Linked DNA regions of Callithrix jacchus. The protein of the gene in region 1 interacts with the protein of each later gene in a pairwise test. Links are inferred from orthologs where the notes say so. Each region holds a gene or a part of one and is shown in the gene's direction. Other genes may lie near its edges.

Region 1 (3,644 bases):
GCTGCTTCTGCTCAGCGTGGCCCTGGAAGACTCATTTAGGGGAGTTTTACACGAAACTATAGATGATTTTGCTGAGAATTTTAACTGTTTATCATGCTTCATTTATGAGAGAGAAAAATAAATGATTGATGATGATAAGGGCCAAATTCATGTTGAAGGCATTAAAATAGAATTTATGACACACTGTTTTGGTTTTAAGAAATTGAGGTATCTTATACTTAGAAAGGCTCAACAACTCTTTGTATTTTTAGAGAATTACCACTTTTCAGAATAGATAAGCACTGAAGTTGCAGTGTCTAAACCTCTCCTGGTGTTTTGTGCTTGAGAAGCTGGTACTGGGTTAACAGCTGTCATCTTTATCGAGTAATACCGAAAAACTGGGCAGAACTTTCAAAGAATGAATTATGATGACACTTTCAGCTTGCAGATGTCCTTGCGTCCTTATTAGGTTGTTAGGTTCAGTTCTGTCATGTGGCTCACTTTCCACGTTTTATTCTTCATGTTAAGGTTGTATAGCTCAAGAAGGGTTGCTGTATTCTGATATTCTCATTAGAGTTTCATAGTCCATCTGATTTCTCTCCACAGTATGGAGATTATAGCTGCTCACTGGCTTTCAGCTAGCATTTCATTTTTAATGGCTCTGCCATTTTAAAATTCTCCATTCTTTCATGGAGATCAGTTTATCCCACGGATGCCTGTGTACACACGTGTTTATAAAGAACAGTGGGGATGAGCTGCTTCACTCAGGTTTTCAACAGCAGCCTGAAAGTCGACTTCTTAAAGTTTTATATCAAGTCAGCTTTTCTCTGTGGCCAGATCCTCTGTCTTAGTGTTTCTTTCACTGGTGGCTGGGAAGGCACCCCTTCAGTGTGGAACGCACGTGCCTTACAGTTCTCCCACCAAGTTTCTTTTGTGGGATGACGTACTCTTCTGTAATCCAACTCTGTCCACCTGAAATCATATTCTAATTTTAGCATAAAGTATACCTCCTTTGATTTTTTTTTCGAGAAAAGGAGAAACAAAACCAGACATTACTTAACTCTGACGACGTCTTTCAGTCCATCTATGCTTTATTTCCTATGGAAAGATTACCTTGCCATGGCTTCCTAGCATGGCCTCCATCTTAACACACGTCCCTCCCCATGCAGGGACTAGAATGGGATCCTCGTAGTCAGTTGACTGCGTCCACTCCTGCGGGACCTGCCCTCTCAGCCTGTGTTAATGTCGTGCGTGTCTTCAGAAGGCTGACCCCACTCAGGTCTCCAGTTCACAGCGCCATGCAGCTCATTCTCCCATTAAATTTGCCTTTACTGTTATTGGCTAATTTGAGGTCATTAGCTGATTGTGAGAATTACTTATTTTATTTAACTTTCCTCATTTAACTGCCATTGTGATGGGATATTTTGCGTTTTCCAGGAATATAAAATTTATTAATAGCACAGCCCTCTAAGAAGTTAATTTTTGATTAACTTTGATTTGATTAAAGTTGAGTTTTCTAAGAAGATAGCTTGTTTTATACCAGGGGTTGGCAGTTAAAGAGCCAGGTGGTGGTAAACATTCTCTGCTTTACAGGTTCAGGTCTCTTGCCACTGTACTTTGCCCTTGGGACAGAAAAGCAGCTATAGACAGGAACGGGCCTGCTTGTGTGCCAGGAAAACTTTTTTTAAAAAAAGTAGGTGATCAGGCCTTAGTTTTGCCCAGTCCTTTATCACAAGGTGAAGAATAATACGTGGCTGGGGAGAATCACCTTCCTTCTTACAGCCACGTCCTGTGTTATTTTTTAAATTCTAATCTTTGTACTAGATGAAGTAGCTTTTTTCTATTAATAAATGTTACTGCATAGCCAATTAATGTGGCTAGTGGATGCCTGAGTGGTGGAGCCCCAGCTTGAGCTGCCCCTCCTGCCTGGAGCAGACGCCATGGGGAGCTCCACGCTCAGCCCAGGTGGCGCGAGGTGGTGTTTAGCTCCAAAATCTGACTGCTGAGAGTCAGAGATTCAAATGAAATGATTAATCCTGGGGTTTATTTCACATGGAGTGTTTAAGAATGGAAGGAAGTGCGTGATAACTGCACTTTCACAGTGAGCACATGAGTTTCTTCCCGCTCTGTGCCTCGGCAGCTCCCCTCCCACCCGGTCACTCCGTCCAGCAAGCATGCAGACAGCAAGCCCGCGCCGCTGACGCCTGCCTACCACACGCTCCCCCACCCCTCCCACCATGGCACCCCGCACACCACCATCAACTGGGGACCCCTGGAGCCTCCGAAAACACCCAAGCCTTGGAGCCTGAGCTGCCTGCGGCCTGCGCCTCCCCTCCGGCCCTCAGCTGCTCTCTGCTACAAGGAGGTGAGGTCCCTTGACCACTCAAACAGCCAGACAACGGTGAGCATGCCTCGGGCCCCGGGGGTGCCGGGCTGGTCCTTCTGTACACAGCAAAATGCACCCTGACTCCTAGAGAATGGAGAAGGGGGTCTGCCTGGGTTCCCTGGTTATCTGCTCTGCTGCTGGGAGGCCCATGGTTACCCTGTGAGGGAAGGGTGTGTAGCGCCCCTTCCTGTCTCGGTTCCCTGGGTATCTGTTCTGCTGGTTTGAGACCCGTGATTACCCTGTGTGGGAAGAGTGTGTGCAGCGCCCCCTTCTTTCTGTGCCATGCAGAGAAGGGCCTTTCCTGTGCTTGCCAGAGGACTGTACCCCTGGGGGCCAGGAGCTGGAAAGGGGCTGATTTCTAGGTGGCTTTCCCTCCATGCGTGAGGCCGCTGCTCTGCACCTGCATGCTGTCTGTTGTGTCTAACAACTCCTCCTCTAGGTTGGGGATCCTGTCCTGTCACCCAGTACCATTTGAGATGAAGAGAGCACTTACCAATACAAATGAAACAGTTACTTAAGGCAGTTCCCTGCTTCGATGTGTAAGAAATCGTGATGCAGTCTTTGCTCATCTCCCTTCTGAGCCAGCATTTTTTATATGCTAGGTGCAAAGTGCAATTCTAATGACTAAATATAAGTATTAACAGGTTCTTACACTTTGACCTAAACCAGTTTGGATGAGGAAAGGAAGTATCTTGAGAAGTGTGTTGTGAGAAGTATTTTCACCTGAGGAAGCTGATAATTGAGATGAGTCTTGTTTTCATAAGCAGTTGAGTGTGTTCACTGGTGAGGTATAAGGAGTGGCTGTGAGGAGGGTAAGGGTATCATGCCTGTGAATGTGAGCAGCAGTGTCATTGGTGGGTGTGAGCGTGAGGGTGGTGACGCACTCTTGCCTGGCATTGTGCCTCTATCTGATCAAGGCCACATTTGCCAGGGAAGCTGGAGCAGACCTTTTCTACATTCTTGCCAGCAGCCTTGAGGGTTTTAAGGTCCGTAGAAAAATACTCTGTAAGAACCCACGATCAGTGCTTTGCACTTTTTGTTCTTACTGAGTCACGTTTTTATGATACCTTGCAGGTAGTCGTGTGTGCAAGTCAGAATTTTTTCTATCATGCGAAGTTACTTGAAGAATGCTGGTGTTCCTTATATACTTTAGTATGCACAGTCTAAAGAAAAAGGGAACTATTGCAAGAACTGGTGGAGATTGAATTACTAGAAAAGATTGGGAGAGAAGTAGACAGGGCAAGGGAAGGGGTATTGAAGTGAAGATAAACATTTTGGT
Region 2 (4,196 bases), on another chromosome or scaffold:
GGTAGGGGAGGCCTGCAAGGTTTTTTTTAAGGTGCAATTATAAATAAAGCCCATAGATCGCGATTTCAAACAAACTTGTCAATCTGGGCCGCAGCAAAAGGCGATGGAGGCAGCTTTGCATGTATTTCGGGTGGTGTGACTCATGAGCATTACTTGTCTCCCCTAGGGAAGGAGCCTGCCCACCCACAAGTCACTGCTGCTCTGGCACCGCTGGGATAAATCTACCAACTTGAGCACCCCTGCCCAAGGACTGCCCCCATCTTCTTACCGAGCAGGAGACTCTGACTTTTGGAGAACTCTTCCTCAATCGTCACCACTGATCTGGCCCCCAGGTCTGGCCCTGGGGTCCCCTGCCCTCTCCCCACAAGCAGAGGAGTGCCCCGCCTTTTGCTGCTGCAGGGATTGGGGGTTGGGTGCACGCGCGGCACACGTGTACGTGGGAGCATGCTCAGTGCGGGGGCTGCACCCACGTGCGGCCTGCACCTAGGCTCCCTGCCCCCCTGGCCACCCACGTTCCTCACCTGCCTCGCCTTTGCCTGTCTCTTCGTGTGAATCCAGAAGAAAAGCCGTCACCTGAAATGGCCCCTCTATGTTATATGAACCCTTTCTGGACACACATACCTCTGGTGGCCCAGAAACACCGTGGGTGTGTATAGGCCGGATGACAAGTGGATATGAGTGCACACAGGCACAGTGGTCACTCCTCGGGAGGTCTTTAAAACCGTCCAGATTCTCTCCTCTCTGGATGGAAGCATGCATGGAGAGATAGATGTATTTTTAGTCCGAAGACAGGAATACACTGCCTGACCTTTCCGGCACCTGGGCGTCCATATTGTGTGGGCGTTTTCAGCAAGAGTGTGACACCACACACACACCTGGACACACAGATGTGGACACTACAGGACCGGGACGCACACTTCACCCCAACCAGAGATAGACGGGTACTCAAGGCACAGCCCCTTTGACGTGGAGCGGGACTTGGGCCTCCAAGTCCTTCCTCTCTTCCCTAATCCCCGCCCTCGCTGTCCCTGGGCCCAGCGTCGCCCGGGCCACCCGACACCGAAAGTGAAGGGGAGGGGGCTGTGAGGGTGACTCACACTGCCTCCGGGCCAGGAGAGCGCTGCAGCAGAGGCCGAGGCCTCAGGCCACGCTGCCCGCCGGCACCCGGCGGCGGCCGCGGCCCCTTTAAGCGTCCCCGCCCCCCTCCCTCCCGCGCCCGGGCTTCCTTTCTCCGGGGGGCGCGGCCGGCAGCGCGCGGCGGGGCGGGGGTGCGGCCCCTCCCCCGGTGGGCAGGGCCTGCGCCGCTTCCTGCAGGAGCGGCCGGGAGCCGCGCAGGGGGCGGAGAGAGGAGCGGCAAGCGGCGGCGGGGCGGCGCGGGGCGGCGCGGGGCGGAGGACGCCCGAGGGCGAGCGGGCAGGCGGGCACGGCGGGTTCCGGGCCAGCCCCGGGGCGGACGGTTGGCCGGGCGCGCGGAGCCTCGCCGGGGCCACGCCGGAGCCGGGCCGGGCAGCAGGGACCGCCGCCGCCGCCGCCCGGGCCCGCCGCCCGCGCCCCCCACGCTGGCCCAGAGGGCTGCGGCCGCGTCGCCGCTGAGGATGTCCCGGAAGGGGCCGCGAACGGAGGTGTGTGCGGACTGCAGCGCCCCGGGTAAGCGCGGCCGGGCCGGGGGCGGGACCGCACAGCCAGGCCGCCGCCGCCGGGCGGGCGCCGGGGCCAGGCGGGAGCGCCGTGCGGGGCCCGAGGGCGGGGCCGGGCGGGGGGCCTCGGCCTCCAGGCTCGGCCCCCGCCCGGGCCACTGCGGAGCCGCGTCCTAGGCTGGAGAGCCGGCCTGGGGAGGCCCCTGCTCCCTGGCGGCCGTGGACTAGCGAGGAAGGACGTTCCCGGCGCCGCCTCCCACCCCTCGGTCTGAGGGAGGCGGGCAGCTGGCTGCTCCTCCACCTCCATCTCTATATCCAACGGAAGCGCCAGCCTGGGGTGGCAGGAGGGCCGTGGCGGAGGCCGGCAGGGTTTGGGAGGAGGGGGCGAGTGTGGTTTTGTGTCATCTCAGTGCCACCCCCGCGTCTTGCACCTGCTGCTCTCGTGGTCGGCACGCCCGCCGGGGTGGTGGAGGGCAAGGAGCAGAGGGCCGGGCATATGCGCCAGTGGAGCCTGGATACCGTCTCCTCAGGAGCAGATGAGCGGTGGCTACTCCCAGGACTCCCTGCCTCGGGTTCCTAACGCTGGGGCTCCTTGTGGGGCCTGGTGTTCAGGGCCAGTCCAGACCCGGGTGTTTTCCCTGGCGGCATCCCCAGGCCTGCTGGTGACTGGGAACAGCTCGGCTGGACCCTGCTTTTGCTGTTCCCCAGTAAGGCCTGCTTGAGAACGCGAGCTTGGCATTGAGCTATCCTGGGCTCGGCTCCTCCCTGTCCGCTAGCCCAGTCTGGCCAGAAATGGATGGGAGGCAGTGGCAAAAAAGTGCCTAGATTCCCCCATCCTGCTGGCTTCCTGGCCTGCCTCCTGGATGTATTTACATAGTGGTTCCCTTCTCTTTCGTAGCAGAGTTAGGACTGGGCTGGAGTGAAACCCCCCTGGCCTGCTGAGGAAGTTAGGAGTAATGATCCTAGAGGCTGCTCCCTTCTGATGGGGGAGGACAGCCAGTGATGGGGCTCTGCAGCTGGCCTGGGAGGGAAGCTCTAGCCCCATCCATTCTTTCTTTAGAAAAGGAGCTGTCTCCCTGGAGCAGGGAGCAGGTTCCAGAGGTCTGTGGACTCTAGGGAGAGTGGGCATGATTAAGAGTGAGAGTATGGTGTGCTGTTTTGTGGACCCATAACTTTCAGCCACCCCTTGAGCAGGCCCAGGACCCCACAGGTTGAGCCTCACAGATGCTCTGGTGGTTCTGGGGGTGCCAAGCTAGAGTATTTGGGAACTGGGAACCTGGCAGGGCTTGGGGACGAGATACTCGATGGGCATTATGACTGGAGGAGCTATCTGGGAGTGGGGGTCCATACCCCTAAGAAACTGTGACTCCCTTTCCCCAGATGCAGACAGGTCTGGGGATGGCAGGGCTGAGGACACCTTGCCTTATAAATGTCTGTCCCATTGTTCCGCACCTCCATGGTGTGGGCATGGAATGATGGGAGGAGAGGCTTAGCAGATACCCTATCAGAGGAGCCTGGGCTTTAGTGTAGTGTACCTTTGTTCCCAGCTTACTCTGTAACCCCAGCAAGACTTTCATCACTGTGGGGGCCTCAGTTTCCTCAATTCTGAGGCAAAGAAGTTGGAGTAGAAATTGTTTTTGAGGGGCTGCCATCTCTGAACCTGTGGTCTGATTCTGGGGCAGTGAGGTGTAGGGCAACACCAGCAAGGCAGTTACCCCTTTTTTTTTTCCTTTTTTTGAGACAGAGTTTCACTTTTGTTACCCAGTCTGGAGTGCAATGGCGTGATCTCTGCTCACTGCAACCTCCGCCTCCTAGGTTCAAGCGATTCTCCTGCCTCAGCCTCCTGAGTGGCTGGGATTATAGGCATGTGCCACCACGCCCAGCTAATTTTGTATTCTTAGTAGAGACAGGGTTTCTCCATGTTGGTCAGGCTGGTCTCAAACTCCCAACCTCAGGTGATCCACCTGCCTCAGCCTCCCAAAGTGCTGGGATTACAGGCCTGAGCCACCGAGCCCAGTTGGGAGTTGTCCTTGCTACATTGCGTTGAGTAGTTGGCCAAAGCCTCTGGATACCCAGTGAGCTCAGGGAGGAATGGTGAGCGTGTAGTATGTTGGATTGCCCAGCTCCTACCCCCAGGTCCTCATCCGTCAGAGGCATTTGTGCCCCAGATATCTCCTTTCCCCTGATCCCCAATAGAGGTCAGGAAGGTAGTGAGAAGGTGAGGATGGTAGTGGGGGAAGGATGTGGACAAAGTCTTACTCATTATCCCACCTCCCACCCAGCAAGGTGTCTGGCATGTGGCAGGCATTCCGAGTGTTTGGCTGCTTGTCAGGACCCTGGCTGGCTGTTTGGGACTGTCCCACACCTGGACAATTAGGATGCTGGCCCTGGTGAGCAGTGGCACATTTGGTCTGGGTCCTGTAGCATCTCAGGCAGAGAGGCATGAGGGTACCCGGTAGTCTGGAGGCCAGATCCACTGCCAGCCCCCGTGGTGTATGACTCCACCCCAGGGTCACAGGCTTCTCTTATTGCAGGAGCCCTGCAGTTCCAGCCACTTGA
Region 3 (4,343 bases), on another chromosome or scaffold:
AAAATGACTGTAGGAGATTTATGTTTATACTTTGCATAGTAAGGCTGGGCACTCTTCAATCAAGAAGAAAAGTTGCTACCAGCTATCACTGAAATCTTAGAGGATTTTTCCTAACCCTAGTCGATGAAGAGCAAATATCTGCCTTTGGTGCAAGTCAGCTCTGTACCTGCAATCCATTGGTAAGACATGTGAGGAATTAAGTATTGCTCTCCCTATTGAGCTCCCAGCATTGCCATATTCTCAAAGAACTACACGCTGAAGTTGCAGAAAGCATATAATAGATCACATAGCTTCAGTTATTTTAATTCCAATTTTACAAGTACTTTGCATAATCTAAAGGTACATGTATAAGACCATTCAGCTTCAGCAATAAATTCTTACTCTAGTGAAAATGCAAGAAGTTTTGGGGAAATATTACCTAGCACATTTTGAAATAGAAGCAATGCTTTATTTCAGAGAAGAAAATGGAGGTTGAAAGGTTTTAAAATATTAAAGACAGTTTAGCATCAATCGAAGAAATAACATTGTTTAGAAACAACAGACAATAAAAGTTACAACAAAATTATCAACGCTTGCAAATGATTTAAAACAGATTTTTTGGACAAAATGCTGAAAGGTGGGCCTTATACACCAAAGGGCACATACAAATTTGCATTAAGACAAATCACCAGTTAAATGTTACATTGTCTCATCTAAAGCCCATCAAATACTTAAATCTGGAACATCTTTGGATGTGCATTGTGACTTTTGTATCTCAACTAGCACTTTGGGACCTTGGACAAGGTGTTAGGAAAGAAATCAATATTGGTCAGGACCAAGACTTCTCAAGATGACTGCATGAGGTAGAAGGAAGAAGGAGAAAAAGAACTTGCCCAAAGTTCACTGTTCATCTGCTATGTCTGATTCTGTAGGAGTCTTCATGGCCGTGTTCAGTAATGATTGCATAATGACAGTACTAATAAAACTATTAGTGTTTTGTTCTCAGAGCTTTTGGTCCTTTCATTCTGTCAGTATGTTTCTGCCCTACATGATGGGTCCACATACCGACAGAGACATGTATAACTTGCCTCTATCATCAACTCCTTACCGGCTGGTTGAGCTAAGTTATTCCTTGTGGCCTCTGAGTAATCTGCAAGAACAGAAGCATTACTAAGCATCCCTATCTGCGTGCAAGGGTGTGTGTTGGCAGTACAGCTCAAATCTTGCAAAATCCTTCTTCTAATTTTCCTCCCCTCTGTAAGAACCCTGTGTTGGGGGGCAGGAGATGGAAGCCCTTGGCAAGCTCGATTAAACCAAGCTACTAAATTGCTGAGCTGGTTTTAATTGAAGTGTGAGAAGGAGGTTTAAGGCAAGTAGACAACATCCTGTTGTTTGGGTGCCTCTCTCTTTTTTGCACATCTGGCTGAACTGGGAGTCAGGTGGTTGATCTGTGCCTGGCTGCAGTAGCAGCGGCATCTCCCTTGTACAATCCTCCTCCTCGGCCTGCCCGAGAGTCCACCAGGCCATGGATGCAGTGGCTGTGTATCACGGGAAAATCAGCAGGGAGACCGGCGAGAAGCTCCTGCTCGCCACTGGGCTGGATGGCAGCTATTTGCTGAGGGACAGCGAGAGCGTGCCAGGCGTGTACTGCCTGTGTGTGCTGTGAGTATTCTGTGGCAGGCAGGGGCCTGCTGAGCATGTGGATGGTGGGCACTGGCAGCTGAGGCCAGGGCAGAGGCTGAGGCGGGCAAGGGTGCTGGCGTTAGCAGCTTGCTGAGGCCTTCTTCATGACCCACCCTCAAGTCTAGTCCAGGGCCGTGAGGGAACACACTTTCGCCTGAGTCCCTCGCTGGGGATTTCATTCCCTGGGCCTCCTGCTCTCCAGAAGGCCCTCACCAGGGGCTTTTGGGGCAGCTGCAGAGAATGCCCTTTAGGGTGGTGAAATATGGTCTAAAGTTTACCTTTGCTCCAAGAAAGACCCAGGCTCCCAACTTCCATTTTAACTCCTATCGGGTGGCTCCGTACTCTAGCTCTCTTTAAATGACTTTTGAAGTGTCATCCCAAAGAAAGAGCATGACATTCAGAGAGAGGAGGCAGATTAAGAAACAGTCAATTACTTTAAGAATGCAATGCCAGTTAGGTCAAGATGCTGAGAGAGGAGGGGGATGTGTGAAAGTAAAATCATCTCTCTGGATCTGCTGATGTAGCATTCTTTAGAAAGGTAGTGTCTGTGAGGGGTGGGGCAGGGGATTTCAGAAATAGGATCCTTCTTGATAAACATTAGGACTCACAGTAGTCTTAAAGGGAATGGAGGGAAAACACCCTTGTTATGATTCAGCTTTGCCCTTTGCCTAGGCATGTCTCAGTCTAAGGCTTCATTTTGAATCAAATTCACCTGTGTCGTTGCTCCAGTGCTCCAGAGTCAGGCAGATCTGAGATGTAGTCCTGCGCTAGTCAGATGTTAGTCTTGTGACCTGGGCAAATTAACCTTTCAGTCCCCCAGTTTTCTTATCCATTGAATAATACTAAAGATATATTATTATTATTATATCTCCTCTTTTCAGTTGATTTCTTTTAGGAATCATGGGGGCATTTCTAAGGAAGTACCTAGCTAGCTCAAGCATTATTGTCAGCGGAATAAAAAAATCCATGAAAACAACAACCCTGCATAGTAGGTTCTAGACAGAAACCAAATGAGGTTAAATGCTTGGTAGTAAGTTCAGCATCTGATGATACACTACAAGAGTTTGAAATACCTTATGGGTCAGTGAAGAAAGATGATCCCGATGCTGGTGTTAGAGGATTTTCACTGTATATTGGTTATTAAAAATGGTCAAGCCTTGTTTGTTGCAGCTCTCCTATCATGCTCTAAATACATTTTTCATAAAGGCTTCAAGGGAAATACGTGGAAGCTATTGATTGTCTTGGGCTTGAATCTTTATGTTTTGCTTATATCATTATTGTTTCCATGTGGAACCTAGGGAAGGGCAAAGAAAACCAGCTGGGATTCTTAGGCTCTTTTCTCATTGAAAGAAGGTGCAGTGGGCAGGTGAAAGGTACTGCTTTAGGGAAGCTGACAAAGGAGATAACATGCTCCTTAACCCAAAGGTGAAAAAGAAAGTACAAAACAAGTCTGGGCAGAGGAGGGACAACAGGGTATAGTGAGAGTCAAGATACACCTAAGGCTTCAGCCTCACTGGGCTCCTGGCCATTTCTCAAGCTCCTAAAAAATGCCCCCACTTAGGATTTCTGCACTTATTGTTCACATGTTTGTTCAACTGTCTCCTCCCTCAGAGAGGACTTGCTTGACCACTACCTAGAACAACTGCTCTCTCCCTGTCCCTGATACACTCGCTCCATCTCTACTTTTCTTCAAAGAGCTTTAAACTATCTGATAACTTGCTTACTTACCTACTTATTGCTGGACGCTCCTGCAAAAATATAATCTCCATGAGGGTAGAGACATTGTCTCCATCACCAGGAACACAGAAACACATAATAGGCACTCAGCAAATATTTTTGAATCAACACACTGTCAAGGCAAATTCTGTTCTTTACTGTAAGAAACTGAATGGACATCGATGGGTTAGGGTGTGGACTCTGGGAAAGTCACTCAAATTCTCTGGGTCTCACTTTCCATATTTATAAAACAGGAATAGTATTGTGTATCTTACCTTCTGCAAAAGATTGCCTTCAGTACAATATATAAGACAGAAGGACAACTTTAGCCTTTTGCCTGTGTAGGCCAGAACCACATAAGGAATTAACTTAGGCAGATGAGAAATTCTCAAGCATTTAACTTTTTGCCCAAAGTGAATCTTGCATAAATGCAGTTTTTATGACCCTTAGTTCTCCATGAAAACCTCCCTGTAAAGTAGCAGAAAATACTGGGCAAATTGGGAGTTCCCTTATGGTGTCTTTCAAATGGTACACTGGGGCCTCAAAGTCTTATGAGACTGTTAGAGTGATAGCCAGAATGTGCTGCAGAGGGAAGATACAAGGATACATTGCCTTTTATCAGAGTTTCTCAAGGTTTTTGAATTGAGAGTCCTTTTTGATAAACATAAACATTTCATTTCCTCTTTTTGGTGCTACACTGTAATGATAAAATCAAATTTTGTTTAGAAATAAACCATGTACTAATTTTAAAACAAAACACTTTTGCTTATGATATGCAGTCAAAATAACAATAGAAGTGGTGTCATATGCACATAGACAACAAGGTATAGCTGATAAACATGCATTGATTGTAGGGTTTACTCAGAGTAGTTTCTCATTCTTTTGTGTACTCCTATTAACCAAGAATATTTAATTGACCTTTTATATTTTATATAAATTTAACAAATTAATTTAATAAATTTGAT

The links.
Region 2: the proteins of ARHGEF7 (region 1) and GIT1 interact in binary tests that used the Homo sapiens proteins (3 or more experiments, as listed by UniProt). The link is inferred for Callithrix jacchus from reciprocal best matches to the Homo sapiens genes ARHGEF7 and GIT1.
Region 3: the proteins of ARHGEF7 (region 1) and SH2D1A interact in binary tests that used the Homo sapiens proteins (3 or more experiments, as listed by UniProt). The link is inferred for Callithrix jacchus from reciprocal best matches to the Homo sapiens genes ARHGEF7 and SH2D1A.

Annotation. Positions count from the first base shown.
Region 1 is NC_133502.1:26,831,124-26,834,767, forward strand, and holds part of ARHGEF7 (rho guanine nucleotide exchange factor 7), read left to right. Parts: intron 1-2,119; coding exon 2,120-2,380; intron 2,381-3,644. UniProt on the Homo sapiens protein: Acts as a RAC1 guanine nucleotide exchange factor (GEF) and can induce membrane ruffling. Functions in cell migration, attachment and cell spreading. Promotes targeting of RAC1 to focal adhesions. May function as a positive regulator of apoptosis.
Region 2 is NC_133506.1:104,019,956-104,024,151, forward strand, and holds the start of GIT1 (ARF GTPase-activating protein GIT1), read left to right. Parts: upstream 1-1,333; 5' UTR 1,334-1,595; coding exon 1,596-1,647; intron 1,648-4,196. Other genes in the region: ANKRD13B (ankyrin repeat domain-containing protein 13B), read right to left, coding at 622-759. UniProt on the Homo sapiens protein: GTPase-activating protein for ADP ribosylation factor family members, including ARF1.
Region 3 is NC_133524.1:120,100,187-120,104,529, forward strand, and holds the start of SH2D1A (SH2 domain-containing protein 1A), read left to right. Parts: upstream 1-1,416; 5' UTR 1,417-1,504; coding exon 1,505-1,641; intron 1,642-4,343.